Linked DNA regions of Macaca mulatta. The protein of the gene in region 1 purifies or fractionates together with the protein of each later gene. This does not show direct contact. Links are inferred from orthologs where the notes say so. Each region holds a gene or a part of one and is shown in the gene's direction. Other genes may lie near its edges.

Region 1 (4,220 bases):
AAACATAAATCTAATGCCACTAGCCTGCTGAAAATCTTTCACTGGTTCTCCAAAGTCAGAGATCAAAGTCAACGTTCTTCAGCAGGACACGCCAGGTCCTCCAGGACGCAGCTCCTAACCACCTTTCCACTTCCATCCTCCACAACCCGGGCACAGTTCATTGATCTCAGCAAGGCAAAGCTGCTCGTGGTTCTCAGGGCGATGCTCCAGTCGCCCCTGCTTTGCAGCGCCCGGGACACCCTTCACCTTTCAGGCACTTGGCTACCTCTTACCTTTCAAGGTCCCTTTCAGGCTGCAGGCCTTCCTGGGATCTCAAGGCTGGGCTCAGGGACCCACAGCTTCAGTGTACCCCTGATCACAGCGCCACGATCTGCTGTGGTCTCTGATCTCACTCTCCCAGCTGCACGCTGGTCAAAGGCGGAGCTCAGGGACTCCTCTCTGCACAGCCAGGGCGCCTGGCAGGGGACGCGCTTACTGAAGCCGAGAACTTTCTGGGGTGTCTGTGACACCCCAACAGCAATTCCCAAGTACCAAACGCCTACCACGTGCCATGCACGGTGCTAGGTGCACAGATCCCTCTCACCCTCACTGACCAGCAAGCCTGAAGGATAACAGCCCCTTTCAAACGAGGATGCCAAAGCGCCCGAAGAGTCAGTGACCTGCCCAGGGTCACCAGGGTAAGGACGGATGGGGCCAAGCTCAGGGCCTAGGGAGAGCCGGCTCCAAAGTTCCTCCCAGACGCCAGCCTGCTTGGCACCTGTCTGTCACCGTGATGGAGCACCTTCCACCTACTGGGTGCGGAGGATGTGACAGCGAAGGGGACAGACAACCCCGACCCTGAGAGGCGGGAGGCGGCCGAAACGAGGCAGAGGAAGAGGCAGGGAAACGGCCCGCGCTGCCCGCCTTGCCTCCTCTCCCGGCTGGCAGCGGCTCCGGAAGCTACAGTCCACAACGCCCACGCCCGACCCGCGGTTCCAGGCGCCTCCACCCGCGCCCCGGGAGCGCGGACCCGCAGAGAACGCAGCCGGAGCCCAGGCATCCCTCCCCCGCCCTCCCTGCGGCCCCACCCATCCTTCCCGGCCGTCCGCGCCGCTCTCGGGGCCGTGTTCCCGTCAGGCCTCCGCGAGCTCGGCCCCGAGTGGGACGAGGGCTGGGCGCTCACCTCGCAGCCGCGGGCCCATCCTCCGGTTGCGGGCTTCGGGGTCCGCGTGGGAGCGCCGCGGCCTCCGGCACCCAGGCAGCTACTCCCGTTCCCGCTCCAGCGCCGGCTTTTCCAACGCTCCTGCCCACGTCCGCCGGGCCCCGCCTCCGAGACTAAGCGCAGGCGCAGTCCTGACGTCCCGCCCCCGGTTCCAGGACCCCGAGTGGTGGGAAGCTTCGCAAGGGACGTCCCCCAACCGGAAGTCGAGGGGAGGAGTCTAGTGCCGCGGGCTCCGGAGTGACGGAAGTTGTGCTCTTGGTGGATGGGGTTCTTCTTTCTTTATTTACCTTCCAATTTAGGAAGACCCCGGCGACCTGTTCCCCGCCCCCGCTTCGCCCTCACACTTTCGGGATGTCTGCGATTCCTGCTGAGGAGAGCGACCAGCTGCTGATCCGACCTCTGTAAGAGACCAGCGAGAGAGGGAATGAGGCCCAGGGCTGTGAGGGGTGCGAGGGATAACCGGAGACTTTGGCCTCCTCCGTCGCCCGCGCTCCCACCGTCCCCGGCAGCCTGCCTTTGGTCCGCGCTTGCGGGCCAGGCTTCTCAGGCTCGAGGGGTTGGAGGACCACTGATTGGAAGGGGCCTGCTAGAGTGAACGGGATTTTGCTTCTTTATCAGTTTCAGGGGAGGGTATGTTGGAGTCGGAAAAAAAAAAGTTTTCCGGGGCCACCGGCCGCTTTTCGTACACGCTAAAAAGCGTTTTCACTTAGCACAAGCACGGATCTCTGCGCGTCAGGGCAAGCCGTGAGAGAGCCGGTGACGCTTATGATCGACAGGATGAGAGGAGGACCTGAATGAGGCTACAGCGGTGCAGGGAAGAATTAAGTCTGTTTCCTAACACCAGGGCTTCACATGTGCCAGAAGTTAGAAAATATTAGGGACGTGCCGTGAGTTTCGATCTTCTCAGCTCAGGTCCTAGTAGAATAAGGAAGGTGTAAAGCTGGAGAGGAGAAAGTGCAGAGGTGTTAGGGACAAAAACTCAGCCCTCGACTGTCCGTAAGGAGAGTGGCCTTTCAGTGGACATGGTCCTCATCAGTCGGGAATGCTGCTGAAGGGGAGATGCAAGATGCTGAAGGGGAGATGTAGGAACTTGGATTCCTACAGATGAGCATTTCGAACCCACAACATGTTTATTGTTAGATGTTAGTTGGCACAACATGAATATACGCTTTCCAAAAGGTAGAAAGTATCTCCTTTACACATTCGTTCAGTAAGGCTTCATTGAGCACCTGCTTGGGACATAGTCCGTTTCCTTCTGCTTAGATCACACCTGTCATGTCTTCCTGTGATGAGCAAACACTGTCGCTTGATCTGCTAACTCAATTCTTTAGCAAGTGTCAAGTGTCAAGCACCACACGTGGGGATACAGATGCAAAGGAGGGCCCAGTTAATTGCTCTCGCCCTTATGGAGAGAATTACAGTGCACAGTGGGAAGTATTGGAGAGATACTTTGGTATAATAGGAGACCATTACTTTGAAGTCAGACCTGAAGTACGTTATCTACTTGACCACTTAGTAGGACAACAACCTCACTAAACCTGTTTTCTCATGTGGAAATGAGATAAAACTTGAAGAGTAAAGATCGCGGTAGGTGCTTTGTAAATAATAGCTAATCTAAGAGGGCAGGTAGGCATTGCACTGAGCACTGTGAAAGTATGGAAAAGGGATTTCTGACAGATTGAGGAAAAAAGGATACCTCATGCATCCTGAAAAATGTGATGCTTGAGCTGAGTCCTCAAGAATGAGTAGGAGTTGAAGACTGGGGGGCCCAGGGTGTTCTAGGCAGTGGAAGTGGCACATGTGAAAGTGAGAGTGGCCACAACTTGTGGCCAGATTCCTCATGGCTGTAGCTAAAGAGTTGAGTTAGCAGATGAAGCGACAGGCTGTTGAGGTCCAGTTTAGGAAGCACCTCATATACATAGGAGTTTGGACCTTTATCAGATAGTCAATTACAGGGAGCCAGCAAAGGCTGTTAAGCAAGCATGGATATTGTGAGGAATTATGTTTTAGGAAAATCACTCCTGGCAGCAGTGTAGCAGCTGAATAAAAGGATGGATTGAGTAGAGCAGGTTCAGTAAGATATCATTGAAAGATTCCAAGTCTAGGTGATCAGAGCCTGTAGTGAGTGACATGAGTGTGAGAGAGTACGCAAATGAGATCTTCAGGATTTTGTGGCTGATCAGCTGTATCTGGAAGGGTGGTTGTGGGGAGGGAAGGCAGGGCAGAGAGGATGTTATGATGACTCGGATTCCTAAGTTTGGCAGTTGGGAAAGGGTAGTGTTCTTCACTCTAGGAGTGTAGGAAGTGGGGCAACTCTGGAGTAAATTTGGGAGTTCGGTTGTTTCATAACAGCTTTATTGAGATACAGTTTACATACTATACAACTCACAATTTATATACCATACAACTCTCAGTCGTTCTTAACATAGAGTTATACAACCATCACCCCTCTCTCATTCCAGAACATTTTCATCACTCCCAAAAGATACCTTGTATTCATTAGCAGTCATGGACAATCCCCACTACCTCTCCAGACCTTAGCAACCACTAATCTACTTCTCTACAGATTTGCCTGTTGTGGACATTTCACAGAAGTGCGATCATACAATACATAGTCTTTTGTCTCTGGCATCTTTCATTTAGCGTAATCTTTCCAAGGTTCAAAATTGAGGAGTTTTATTCATTCAATAAGTATTTTTTGTGATTTACGTAGCAATACAGCAGTGAATAAGGTGGACAATGCCTCTGTTCTTAGGAAGCTTTCATTTAGTAGCCTGAAGCAAGACATAAGTGGATACAATAACTTCATGTAGTTGTAAGTATTAAGATAACATGATGCTGGGTTGCGGCTTGCTGTGAAGGGCAAATTAGAGGAGGTAGTCAAGAGAAAGCATCTGAGAAGGTGACATTGGAACTGAGACCCAAATGATACAAAGGAGCCAACCACATCAATATCTGAAGACAAAGCATTTCAGGAAGAAAGCAGAGCAAGTAGGGGGCATGTGGTGGAAACCAGTTT
Region 2 (3,500 bases), on another chromosome or scaffold:
CAGCCTTCCACCAGAGCAGATGTTTGAGCTGATGAAACAAATGAAGGTGGGAGGAGGCATTAGGTTATGAATAAAGCAAACCACATCAGGTTTTCAAGGAGTTAATTGAATCAGTTCCCTGAGCTCAAATAGAAATTGTCTGTAGACCACCATTTCTTGCACCTTCAATATTCTGTATGTACACAGTATATTTTACATTTTGTACAAAGAGCTTTCTATTTTTGTACACAAACACAGCTATCCAAACAATCCAGCTGGATTTTTGTGGCCCATAGATGTCAGATGTAGATATTAAAATTTGGCTTTTTTCCTAAATGATAGTATCACAGTATTTGAAATGCCTCTTTCTTCTCTTGCCTGCCATGACCAAGGTTTTTTTGTGCCATGCAAAAACTAATGATAAAGAGCCTCTTGAATATTACATTTCTCAGAGGGGAATGACTCTAAATCACTATCAGTTTCTAAGTCATAAGTATTAAACCTGAATCTGCTTATCTTCTCAGCTCTGTGTCCAGAATAGTCCCCAGGAGGCACGGAACATGTTGCTTCAGAACCCTCAACTGGCTTATGCTTTGCTGCAAGCACAGGTAGTGATGAGAATTGTGGATCCGGAAATTGCCCTGGTGAGTGCTTCTGGTTCTTTTATGGAAATGGTCGGGTAAACCTTGAGTGGGATAGGAACTACCTGATTGCTTTGTTAAACAGACAGCTTATAGGTTTGTCTTTTCACTTTTTAGAAAATTCTGCATCGCCAGACAAATATCCCAACGCTGATTGCAGGCAACCCTCAGCCAGTCCATGGTGCTGGGCCTGGGTCAGGATCCAATGTGTCAATGAACCAGCAGAATCCTCAGGCCCCTCAGGCCCAGTCTTTGGTAGGGCTTTATCCCTTAACATTTTTTTTTATCTGTCTTAGAATGTCATTTTCTTTTTAGGAGAATATATTGAAAGAAGAATGGTCAGGAACCAGAGATGATAATTTCAATTTCCAGGCATAAAAGCAATTTCCAGGTTGCAGAGCACATGACATCTGAATGAATATAGATTCGATTCCAAGTTTGTAAAACAAAGAGATCCTTCCTGTATGCCCTTTTCTTATAAGCTAACTTTGTGTGTATGTGCATGCCTGGCACTGTGGTTGGCACTTTGTTATTCCATATGCATTATCTCATTTAATCCTCAAAGCAATTGTATGAGGTTGGCACTCTTATTATCTCCATTCTTACCAATGAAAAAAGTAAAGCTTGCTTTCAAAGCATGACACAAAACCCTAAAGCCATAAAAAATTGATACATTTGAAAACTAAAAAATTTCTATATAAAGAAAAAAATAAGTATCAAAGACATGACAAATTGAGAAAAAGTATTTGCCACACATGTGATGGACAACAGACTAATAAAGAGCCCATAGTCATGCACAGAAATGTTTATTGCCTTAGAGTGAAAAATTGGAAATGTCCTAAATGTACATCAATGGAAGAATGGAGAAAATGTGTGGTACATTCATCCAGTGAAATACTGTACAACAGTTAAATGAACTACACGTATCAACATGAATGACTCTGAAAAACATAATTCCATACAGCAGTTAAGATGAACTAGGATACATAATATCAACACAAATAACTCCAAAACAATAACATACGGACATGAAACTAAGTGAATGTGGATGCATTCCCGAAATGTAGGATATATGTTTCTGCATAAATCCCCAAAATATGTGGAGTGAGTTTCAAAATAATATATTGAGTATGTAATGATTCCTATAAAATTTTAAAACATTAGGAAGATGTCTTAGCGGTCATCTAAGGAGAAGAGAGCACAGGATGCAATTGGGGAAGACCATACAGGCCATTGGTGTATTTTATTGTTTATTTCCCAAGCTGCGTGGCTATTTTATTTCCTATATGATTTGTATATCTGTAATTTTTCATAATACATTTTAAAAGGCCTCCTATAAATTAGTAAGAAAATTTCCAATAACCCAGTAGAAAAATGGGAAATGGACATAAATATTTCACAAAAGTAGAAATATAAAGTAAATATATAAAAATGTATTCAACCTCAAAATAAGATAATGTAATAAATTATTAATACATGTAATGTTAAAAGATAATGTAAATAGAAACTACAATAAGCTACCATTTTTCATCTCTCAGATTGGCAGAGGTATAGGGCAGGAGCCAGCAAACATTTTTCTGTAAATGATCAGATAGTAAATATTTTTGGCTTTGCAAGCCACAGGATCTGCCACAGCTACTCTGCCATGGTAGTATGAAATCAGCCATAGGCAATATGTGAACAAGTGTGTGTGGTTGTGTTCCAATAAAAGTTTGTTTACAAAACCAGGCAGTGAGCCCGATTTGACCCATGGGTCATCATTTGCCAGCTCCTGCTCTAAATAAATAAATGTTTTCAGAGATAGAAAAGAGAGGTTAGCTAGTCCAAAAATGGACACAATTGTAAGTGGCAGATATAGTTCTGAACCTGGTTTTATCTGACCTCATACCCAGTTTTCTCTTAACTACCTTCCTATACAGCTCTTCCTTTTCTGTTGTAGAGTTTTGTGTTCCTTAAACGTGTATGTAATTTTTTTTTATATAACTTGGCTTTTATTCTTTATTTATTGAGCTGTTTCTTTTTCAAGGGACTACGCAGTTTTTTGGGGAATGCACAGATGAAAAGTTGACATTCTCTTTTTCTCAAAGAGTTTTAATGTAGCATTAAAAAAAAAAAATTCACATTCCCCCAGAACCAGAATTATGTCTAAGGACAGGAGTGAGAAAAGATTGGTTAAATTTAAATTTAAAAAAAAAAAAGAAGAACATTTAATTTTAAAAATGTGGACTACTAGCAGTTGTTGTGTTTTTTTAAAAAGAGGCCCAGTCTCCTTTTTTCTTTCTTGGGTTTAGGGCTTTTTTTTTTTTTTTTTTTAAACTCTTATTGCCAGGCCCCAGTCATGAAGTTAACAATAGGTGCTATGTGCTGCCTTGCCACACAGATAAGACTTGTCAATCTCTACATTGAGAATATGTTCCATCTTAACCGTGTTCCATATAACCAGGCTCATGATGTGTATTGCAACTTGCTTCTGTGGAGTTTAAAGTGTGTGACAAATCTAATGCTGCATAAGACATGCCATACAAAAAGGATGTTTGGTAGTATATTTGGGGCTGTTCATTTGAAGAGGACTTTTAAGGTCATAGACTTAGTATTGAGTCTCCACCAAGGCATGTACATACTCTGTTTTTTTTTTTTCTTGGTCAGGGTGGAATGCATGTCAATGGCGCACCTCCTCTGATGCAAGCTTCTATGCAGGGTGGAGTTCCAGCACCAGGGCAAATACCAACCGCTGTCACAGGACCTGGCCCTGGTTCCTTAGCTCCTGGAGGTAAGTTTCATTTAGTCTTCGCCATTTCAGTACTCGCTAAAGTTTTGTCATAGGCACTGCTGCAGTGCAGCCAAATATGATAATGGGATCCTTAGGTAAAATTAATCCAC
Region 3 (3,500 bases), on another chromosome or scaffold:
AGTGCCCTGGAGGTGATCCGCAAGTACTGCGAGGATGAGGTGAGGACAGGCCCTGGTCACTGCAGCCTGGGCCAAGGGACAGGGCTCTCCCCTGAGGATTCTGAAGGGCACACAGCCTAAACCTTGTGGCAAGGGGTTTCATGAGGGACCGGGCCGTTTTGTCAGAGGCAGTCAGGAGAGAGAGCCCAAAGGCACAGTCAGGTGGGCTGAGCTCAGGTCCCTTTCCTCTTGCTGCAGAGTCGCACCTACCTGGGCATGTCCACGCTTCGAGACCTGATCTTCAAGCGCCCGTCCCGCCAGTTCCAGTACCTGCATGTCCTTCTCGACCTCAGCTCCCATGAGAAGGACAAGGTGATCCCCTGCTCCACTTCCTGGCTGCCCTCAGCCTGCAGTTTGCAGAGGCCACCTGTATCCTGAGGAACCAACTCGTTCTTAGTCCGCCTGTGGTGGCCAGCACAGGCTCCTCGTGCAGCCCAGTCCTGTGCTGGGGCCTGAGGGCATTGCCCAGCAGGGGAGCCAGTGTGGCCTCAGCCAGCAGTGAGGACCCAGCATGCTCAGCAGCTGAGCAGAGCAGTGTGCAGCTGCGGAGCCCTGGGGAGGGAGGGGCCGACCATCTGGTGGTGGGGTGGGCAGGGGAGGTGTTTCAAGGAAAGCTTCCTTCAAGAAGGGGAGATGTGGGCCGAGACCTGGAAAATGAATAGCTGGGTGTGCTCTAGACGAGGGGACAAATGTGCACATGCTGTGGTTGAGAGCGCCCTTGACCCATCCTTGCCTGCAGCCTTTTGCCCCAGCCCCTGCCTGGCAGCGTGTTTATTCATTCAGCAGACCTTCATTGCACACCCCTGGCCCTGGCCCTGGCCCTGGCCCTGGCCCTGGCCCTGTGCTGCTGCTGGGATCAGAGTGCCCAGGACCAGCCCCTACCCTCACAGGTCCCGGCAGATAATATCTGAGTGAAACAGTGTTTAGCTGGCAGTAGGCGTTCTAGGGAGACTTGGCAGGGAGTGGCACTTTTAAGGAACTGAGATCTCCCTCTGCTTGGAGCTTGGTGAGCAAGGCAAGGAGCAGTGACGGGCAGATGGGCTGGAAAGACGGGCAGATGGGCTGGAGAGGCAGGCAGCGAGGTGGTGCTGTGGGTCCGGCCCTGGCCGGGATATCTGCCTCCTGCACTGGGGACCAGCTCTGGGCCCTGGTAGCAGCTGGGCTGCCCCTTCTCAGGCTCGGGTCTGTTTTCACATGAGTGTTGCCACACTCGCAGGAATAGCTGTTCTTCCTCTTCCCTCTTCCCTGACCCTGCCCTTCTCCATCTTCCTCCTCAGGTGCGCTCCCAGGCCCTGCTGTTCATCAAACGCATGTATGAGAAGGAGCAGCTGCGGGAGTATGTGGAGAAATTTGCCCTCAACTACCTGCAGCTCCTGGTGCACCCCAACCCACCGTCTGTGCTGTTTGGAGCTGACAAAGACACAGGTTGGGCGCAGGTCATCAGATGCATATTGAGTGCTGCTGTGTCCGCGCTCTGGTCGCTGCGAGCAGAGGGGCTGAGTGGGGAAGCCACCCAGACACCAGTGACGGGAACGGGCAGGGCTGGGACAGCCACCTGGGGGCTGTGGGAGTCAGGGTAGGGGCATCTGACCTAGCCTAGGGGGTCAGGGAGAGAGATCTGGCGGACGAGGAGAGCCAGCCATCGGTGGGGCCCCAGGAAGGACCAGGCAGGGTCATCTCAGGCAGGTTCCCTCAACAGAGCCTTGGGTCCCCCAGGATTACAGACAGGTAGACTCAGACCCCGAGTAAATGGACCCTTAAATGGGAAGTCTTGGGGCCATGATAGGGCAGCACGGGAGGCCTGGCCCAGGTGCCAGGAAGCATTCCCAGGAGACGCACAGCCTTCGGGAGGCCCAGAGTCTGAGCAGGTGCTGTGGACCAGGCAGAAAGGAGGGCGGATGCAAAGGCAAAGAGACCAGGGCCTTCGGGACTGTTAGAAGGGGTGTGTGACCACCATGGAGGGCAGCAGGGCAGCAGCAGGCCGGGGCCACCCCATGCAACACCTGGCAGCCACTGGGAGGCAGCGAGCCGGGGGTTTATTCTGAGGCTACAGGGCGTGGCTGGGCTTGGAGGTGGAGAGGGACAGGGTCAGGATCGCACTCAAAGATCCTTCTAATTGCCTTGTGTGTTGGCAGTCGGGGAAGGCTGGAGGTAGGAAGTCCTGGTCCCACCCCATTTCCCTGCCCTAGAACAATTAGCTCCCCAGCCCCGGCTCCCTTCTCTGCCCTCCCTGGCTCCACTGCCCAAGAAGGGACAGTTACTGAGGGTCCGAGGGGGTTGGAGAAGAGTGTGGGCCAATCCGACGCCGCTCCTGCCCTGTCAGAGGTGGCAGCGCCCTGGACGGAGGAGACAGTGAAGCAGTGTCTCTACCTCTACCTGGCTCTCCTGCCTCAGAACCACAAGCTGATCCACGAGCTGGCGGCCGTGTACACTGAAGCCATCGCCGACATCAAGCGGACGGTGCTGAGGGTCATCGAGCAGCCGGTGAGGGCCCTGAGCCCACCAGGCCCTGCCCACCCACAGGCAGGGCTGTGTCCCCAGCTCCAGCTCTTCCCCAACCTGCTCCACCTCAGAGTGTGCCAAGCCCAAAGGGTGGTCACCCCGGGTCGACCCAGGCTGTGTAGCTTGCGGGCGGTCCGCATGTCACTCATCAGTTCCTGAGGAAACGTCAGAGTGGCTCAGCAGTTAGGAGCCTAGAGCTGGATAGAGCTGGGTTCGTGTTCACTTGTCACTTTCTCACTGCGACCTCGGGCCTGTCAGTAAAACTAGGGAAGACATTCCAGTCCCTCCACGCTGATGCAAGGAGTCCATGAACTCAGGCACATAAACCTCTGTGTCACTGTCACTGTTTATGAGCTGACCTTCCCGGTGTTGCTAATGGGACTCTTTAGCTGTCATTACATAGACATAAGTCCTTCCCACCTCTCTCTCTGGAGCCACAGGGCTGCCCACAGGAGAAGCAGCTCAGTGACAGACTGTCACCTGAGATGAGAAGGTCTGCACTTCAGTTTGCAGCAGGGTTTGAAACCACTTTTTTTCTTTCTGCCCCTGACATTTTTGGATTACCGAACATTTTCATGATAAATGGGAGAGAGAACTGTATGTTAATCCCCACCTATCTGCCATTTGGGTTCAGTGGGGCCCTTACCTGGAAAATGGGGATAACAGGCTTGTAGTCAGGAGGAAACATTTTTAGCCCCATTCCCAAGGTGAGCCAACTGTGGAAAAGTGATCTCACTTTGCAGAAAAGTGATCCTGTGGGGCTGTGAGCTTCCCGAGGGCAGAGACATTCGGTTTTAGTCAGGAGCGTAAACGTTCCTGGGCGAAGGTGGAGCCTGGCCCCAGCTCCTGTGTTTGGCGTTCACCATGGGGCAGGCTCAGGAAGCAGCAGCAGGTGGAGCCTGGTCTGGGCTCACAGCCAAGCCAGCCGCGCATGAGAAACCAAGTCACGAAGCGGGTGG
Region 4 (3,500 bases), on another chromosome or scaffold:
GTTTTGATTATGGAATAGAATATTGTGGACTAATTAGGATTCATCTAAATAAAACAACAAAAGCAAGATATAGTATGTTTAGTCACCATTCTCAAACTTTGTGATATGTACAGATATATCTTTTGAACGGATGGCAAAGAAATACACTGTCATGTTTAGTTACTTATATCTGGGTAGTGAGATAAAAGGATGATTTTTCCTTGTTTATACCTCCTTGCATTTTCAAAATTAGTTATAGTGAGTATATATTACTTTTATAATTGAGGAAAAATTAGCATTGCAAGCCTTGTGGTTAATGAGTTTCTTTCATCTTTTATGCTCATTTAATTAAGAGAATGTTAGTTCCATTTTGTTCTGTTAAAAATGATTTTTCCTCTTTCCACTAGGAAGCTCCTCAGGGTGCTCCCACTGCCGAGTGAGAACTGGGAAGCTCTAGTTGGAGAATGGTGTTGTCATCCTGACCCCTTTGCTAATAAACCACTTCATCCGCAAGAGAATGACTGTTTTATTGGAGACTCTTTCTTCTTGGTGAATTTAAGAACCAGTTTGTGGCAGCCAAGACCTGAACTTTCCCCAGTGGAGATGTGCTGTGTTTCTTCTGACAACCATTGTAAATTGGTAAAATATCATTTCAAACTAAATGCTAATTTAGAGGTTGTCTTAGATACTGGTTTCTTCAATCTTTTCCTAATTAAGGCCTTGTTACATGGACTGCTGTAAAGGCCAAAATTCATTATTTTCAACTGTCATCACTATCTCTGCTTTATCAAAACAGGAAGAGCATATGGCTTTAAACTAAAACAGCCACAGGGACCTGGAAGAATAAGGAGAGGAAGACCTCTGCAGTCACAGAATTGGGAGTGCTACCATTTTACAAACAAAATGCCCTCCTTTCTTGTTCTTAGGACAATATTGCATAATTTGTGTGCATTTTATCCTAAGTAGTCTGATTTAAGTTAAAATGTTCTGTTGCTCCAGGATATCTACTATACTATTAGGCTGAGGTATTTTACTATTTCTGCCCACAGTCTAGACTTCTGCTGAAGTCATAAATGCAGATGTCATCAAGTAAAAAGAGGAATGGAGGAGCCCAGAAATGGAGATAAAGCTTGTGTTGCAGGGTCTGAATTGGTGCTTGACAGTGTGAGGTCAGGTAGTTCTTGCTGCGTAGGTTACTTTGGGAAGAAGGCAATTTTCTCTCACTGCAGAGAACACGTTTTACTTTATTTTAAAAGAAAATCAATGTCATTGGCTTAGCCCTGTGAGAAATCATTCCACTGATGGCCAGTCAGTACAGATGTTATTTAAAAAGTAAAGAAAATCATTGCCAGAGAAGCATTTTAACATCTGATTATTGGTGGGAACGAAAACATTGTATTTTAAATTTCATTCAGAACTCATTTAATTTTTGTAATCAGAACTGAAACTGAGCGACTGCAGGAAATATGCAGTAGATGGGCAGCTCTTAGGTTGTAAATTAGTTTATAGAACTATTCTGAGGGAGACGAAGGAAATTCGTCGAATGTGGACGTTAAGTTGTTGTCAAAGAAAATTATTTAAGTGCCTCATCTTACACTGTAAACAGAAATCCCTTAATCTAAATATGGTTCACTTTGGTGAAATGTGGTACTTTACATTTTATATTTTAAAAGGTAAATAGTAAGTTAATATACATTTATGTTATATTTAATATGATTAATTAAATTTGTATTTTAATCTAAATATATACTAATACTTTATGTGTTTTAAATTTCGTCTTTATGATTAAGCTATACATTTTAAAAATATTTGGAAGTTGTGAGCAGAAAAGTAGTAAAGATTAAATGAGAGAAGCCATGTTTCCCTTTTTAAATAAACTCAGCACTCTGTGCTGAAATATATTCTTCACATTTACATCTTTATCAGTTATGTGATGCAATTTACAAGAATTTCTCTTCATAGTAAACAGCTATCTTATCCATTAAAGAAAGACCCATCGTATTTTTAGACATTACAGTTTTAGTATCAAGGAGACTGTGGGAAATTCTGTACTATCATGACAAGCTGCTGTTGAAAAGATTTTCTTCAAGTTAGCCTAGATGAAAGTCCCTCTTTAATTGTATATTGTAGCAGTCCAAAGAGTGTGCCTGTGACCAAAATAGAAGCGTAAATTTGGAGGGACTGGGTAAACAGTGCTCTCAAGGCTCCTGTGGGAACAAGGCTGTTCTGTGCTATTGAAAACCTATTTCTCCTATCACCCAGTCTAGCCATCTAGCAGGGTTTTGAAATGCCACATAGTAACAAAGCATCCTAATGGTATCTCTTGGGAAACATTTTTTTGGTGAGACAATATCAAGGGTCCTTAGAAATTGAGACAACACAAAGGGAAACTAAAAGGGAGGACACAAGGCTAATCCACCTCTCTGAGCAGTCCTGCCCTGTGTCAGATATATTGACTTAATTAGTCCACAACAATGTCTGTCTTTGAGGTTTGCTCTGTAGAGTTCCCACACTGTTAGGCTGCTTCATTACACAACTTACCTTATTATTTCCTTCAAGGATAGGTGAAGAAAAATGCATTACAAACAGAGATTCTCTTTAAACAAAATTTATGTGTTATATGTTTAATTAAAAAGATCTGCTTTTAAAAACAGCACAAACAAACGTGAAGCCCAACACTGTTTCTTTTCTTCCATAGCTTTTTAGAGTTTATAGTACTTTATTTGAGCCTTTGTCATTGCAGCAGTATCTACTTTTTTTAAAAAAGATACCTGCTGGAGATTTCCCTATTCATGTATTCATTTATCATCTCTCTTGTTCTATTTTGTGCCCACCCACATAATACAAATTTCGCATCTTGGGCCGGGCATGGTAGCTTATGCCTGTAATCCCAGCACTTTGCGAGGCTGAGGCGGGTGGATCACAAGGTCAGGAGATCGAGACCATCCTGGCCAACATGGTAAAACCCCATCTCTACTAAACTACAAAAAAATTAGCGAGGCATGGTGGCGGGGGCCTGTAGTCCCAGCTACTCAGGAGGCTGAGGCAGGAGAATCTCTTGAACCCAAGAGGCAGAGGTTGCAGTGAGCCAAGATTACACCGCTGCACTCCAGCCTGGTGACAGAGCGAGACACCATCTCAAAAAAAAAAAAAAAAATTGTATCTTATAATAATGGGATGATAAAGATGGCATTTCTTCCTTTTATAAGATTCAAAATATTATTCAAGACTTCACTGTATTTTTTAAAGAACAAATAAAATTGATCTTTGATTACATTAATATTACTGCTAGCAAGGATGACTAACATCTTTATCTTTTTTTCTTTCTTGGAGTACTTAGTAATAATTAGTTGATTTTGGTAATTTGTTTTGTTAAATCCATAAGTGGGTCTTTTTTGTTTTCTTAGAAAAATGTGTTGTCAAACTCTGTAAGTATTCACAATTATAAAAAGAATAGTATTGTGAATTTCAATATGGATTCATCATACTAGTATGCTTCATCTGCTCTTTTTTTTCCTGAA

What was found. Proteins that work in one complex are often made in the same cells at the same time.
Region 2: the proteins of CPSF3 (region 1) and CSTF2 purify together in Homo sapiens (affinity purification with mass spectrometry; 3 studies listed by BioGRID and IntAct, with this or other methods). This does not show direct contact. The link is inferred for Macaca mulatta from reciprocal best matches to the Homo sapiens genes CPSF3 and CSTF2.
Region 3: the proteins of CPSF3 (region 1) and SYMPK fractionate together in Homo sapiens (co-fractionation; 6 studies listed by BioGRID and IntAct, with this or other methods). This does not show direct contact. The link is inferred for Macaca mulatta from reciprocal best matches to the Homo sapiens genes CPSF3 and SYMPK.
Region 4: the proteins of CPSF3 (region 1) and UBE3D purify together in Homo sapiens (affinity purification with mass spectrometry; 4 studies listed by BioGRID and IntAct, counting the BioPlex papers as one, with this or other methods). This does not show direct contact. The link is inferred for Macaca mulatta from reciprocal best matches to the Homo sapiens genes CPSF3 and UBE3D.

What each region holds. Positions count from the first base shown.
Region 1 is NC_133418.1:115,401,212-115,405,431, reverse strand, and holds the start of CPSF3 (cleavage and polyadenylation specificity factor subunit 3), read left to right. Parts: upstream 1-1,420; 5' UTR 1,421-1,552; coding exon 1,553-1,602; intron 1,603-4,220. UniProt on the Homo sapiens protein: Component of the cleavage and polyadenylation specificity factor (CPSF) complex that plays a key role in pre-mRNA 3'-end formation, recognizing the AAUAAA signal sequence and interacting with poly(A) polymerase and other factors to bring about cleavage and poly(A) addition.
Region 2 is NC_133426.1:107,706,910-107,710,409, forward strand, and holds part of CSTF2 (cleavage stimulation factor subunit 2), read left to right. Parts: coding exon 1-46; intron 47-503; coding exon 504-623; intron 624-737; coding exon 738-875; intron 876-3,266; coding exon 3,267-3,390; intron 3,391-3,500. UniProt on the Homo sapiens protein: One of the multiple factors required for polyadenylation and 3'-end cleavage of mammalian pre-mRNAs. This subunit is directly involved in the binding to pre-mRNAs.
Region 3 is NC_133424.1:58,376,585-58,380,084, reverse strand, and holds part of SYMPK (symplekin), read left to right. Parts: coding exon 1-39; intron 40-237; coding exon 238-351; intron 352-1,316; coding exon 1,317-1,464; intron 1,465-2,362; coding exon 2,363-2,523; intron 2,524-3,500. UniProt on the Homo sapiens protein: Scaffold protein that functions as a component of a multimolecular complex involved in histone mRNA 3'-end processing. Specific component of the tight junction (TJ) plaque, but might not be an exclusively junctional component. May have a house-keeping rule.
Region 4 is NC_133409.1:102,792,413-102,795,912, forward strand, and holds part of UBE3D (E3 ubiquitin-protein ligase E3D), read left to right. Parts: intron 1-386; coding exon 387-618; intron 619-3,500. UniProt on the Homo sapiens protein: E3 ubiquitin-protein ligase which accepts ubiquitin from specific E2 ubiquitin-conjugating enzymes, and transfers it to substrates, generally promoting their degradation by the proteasome.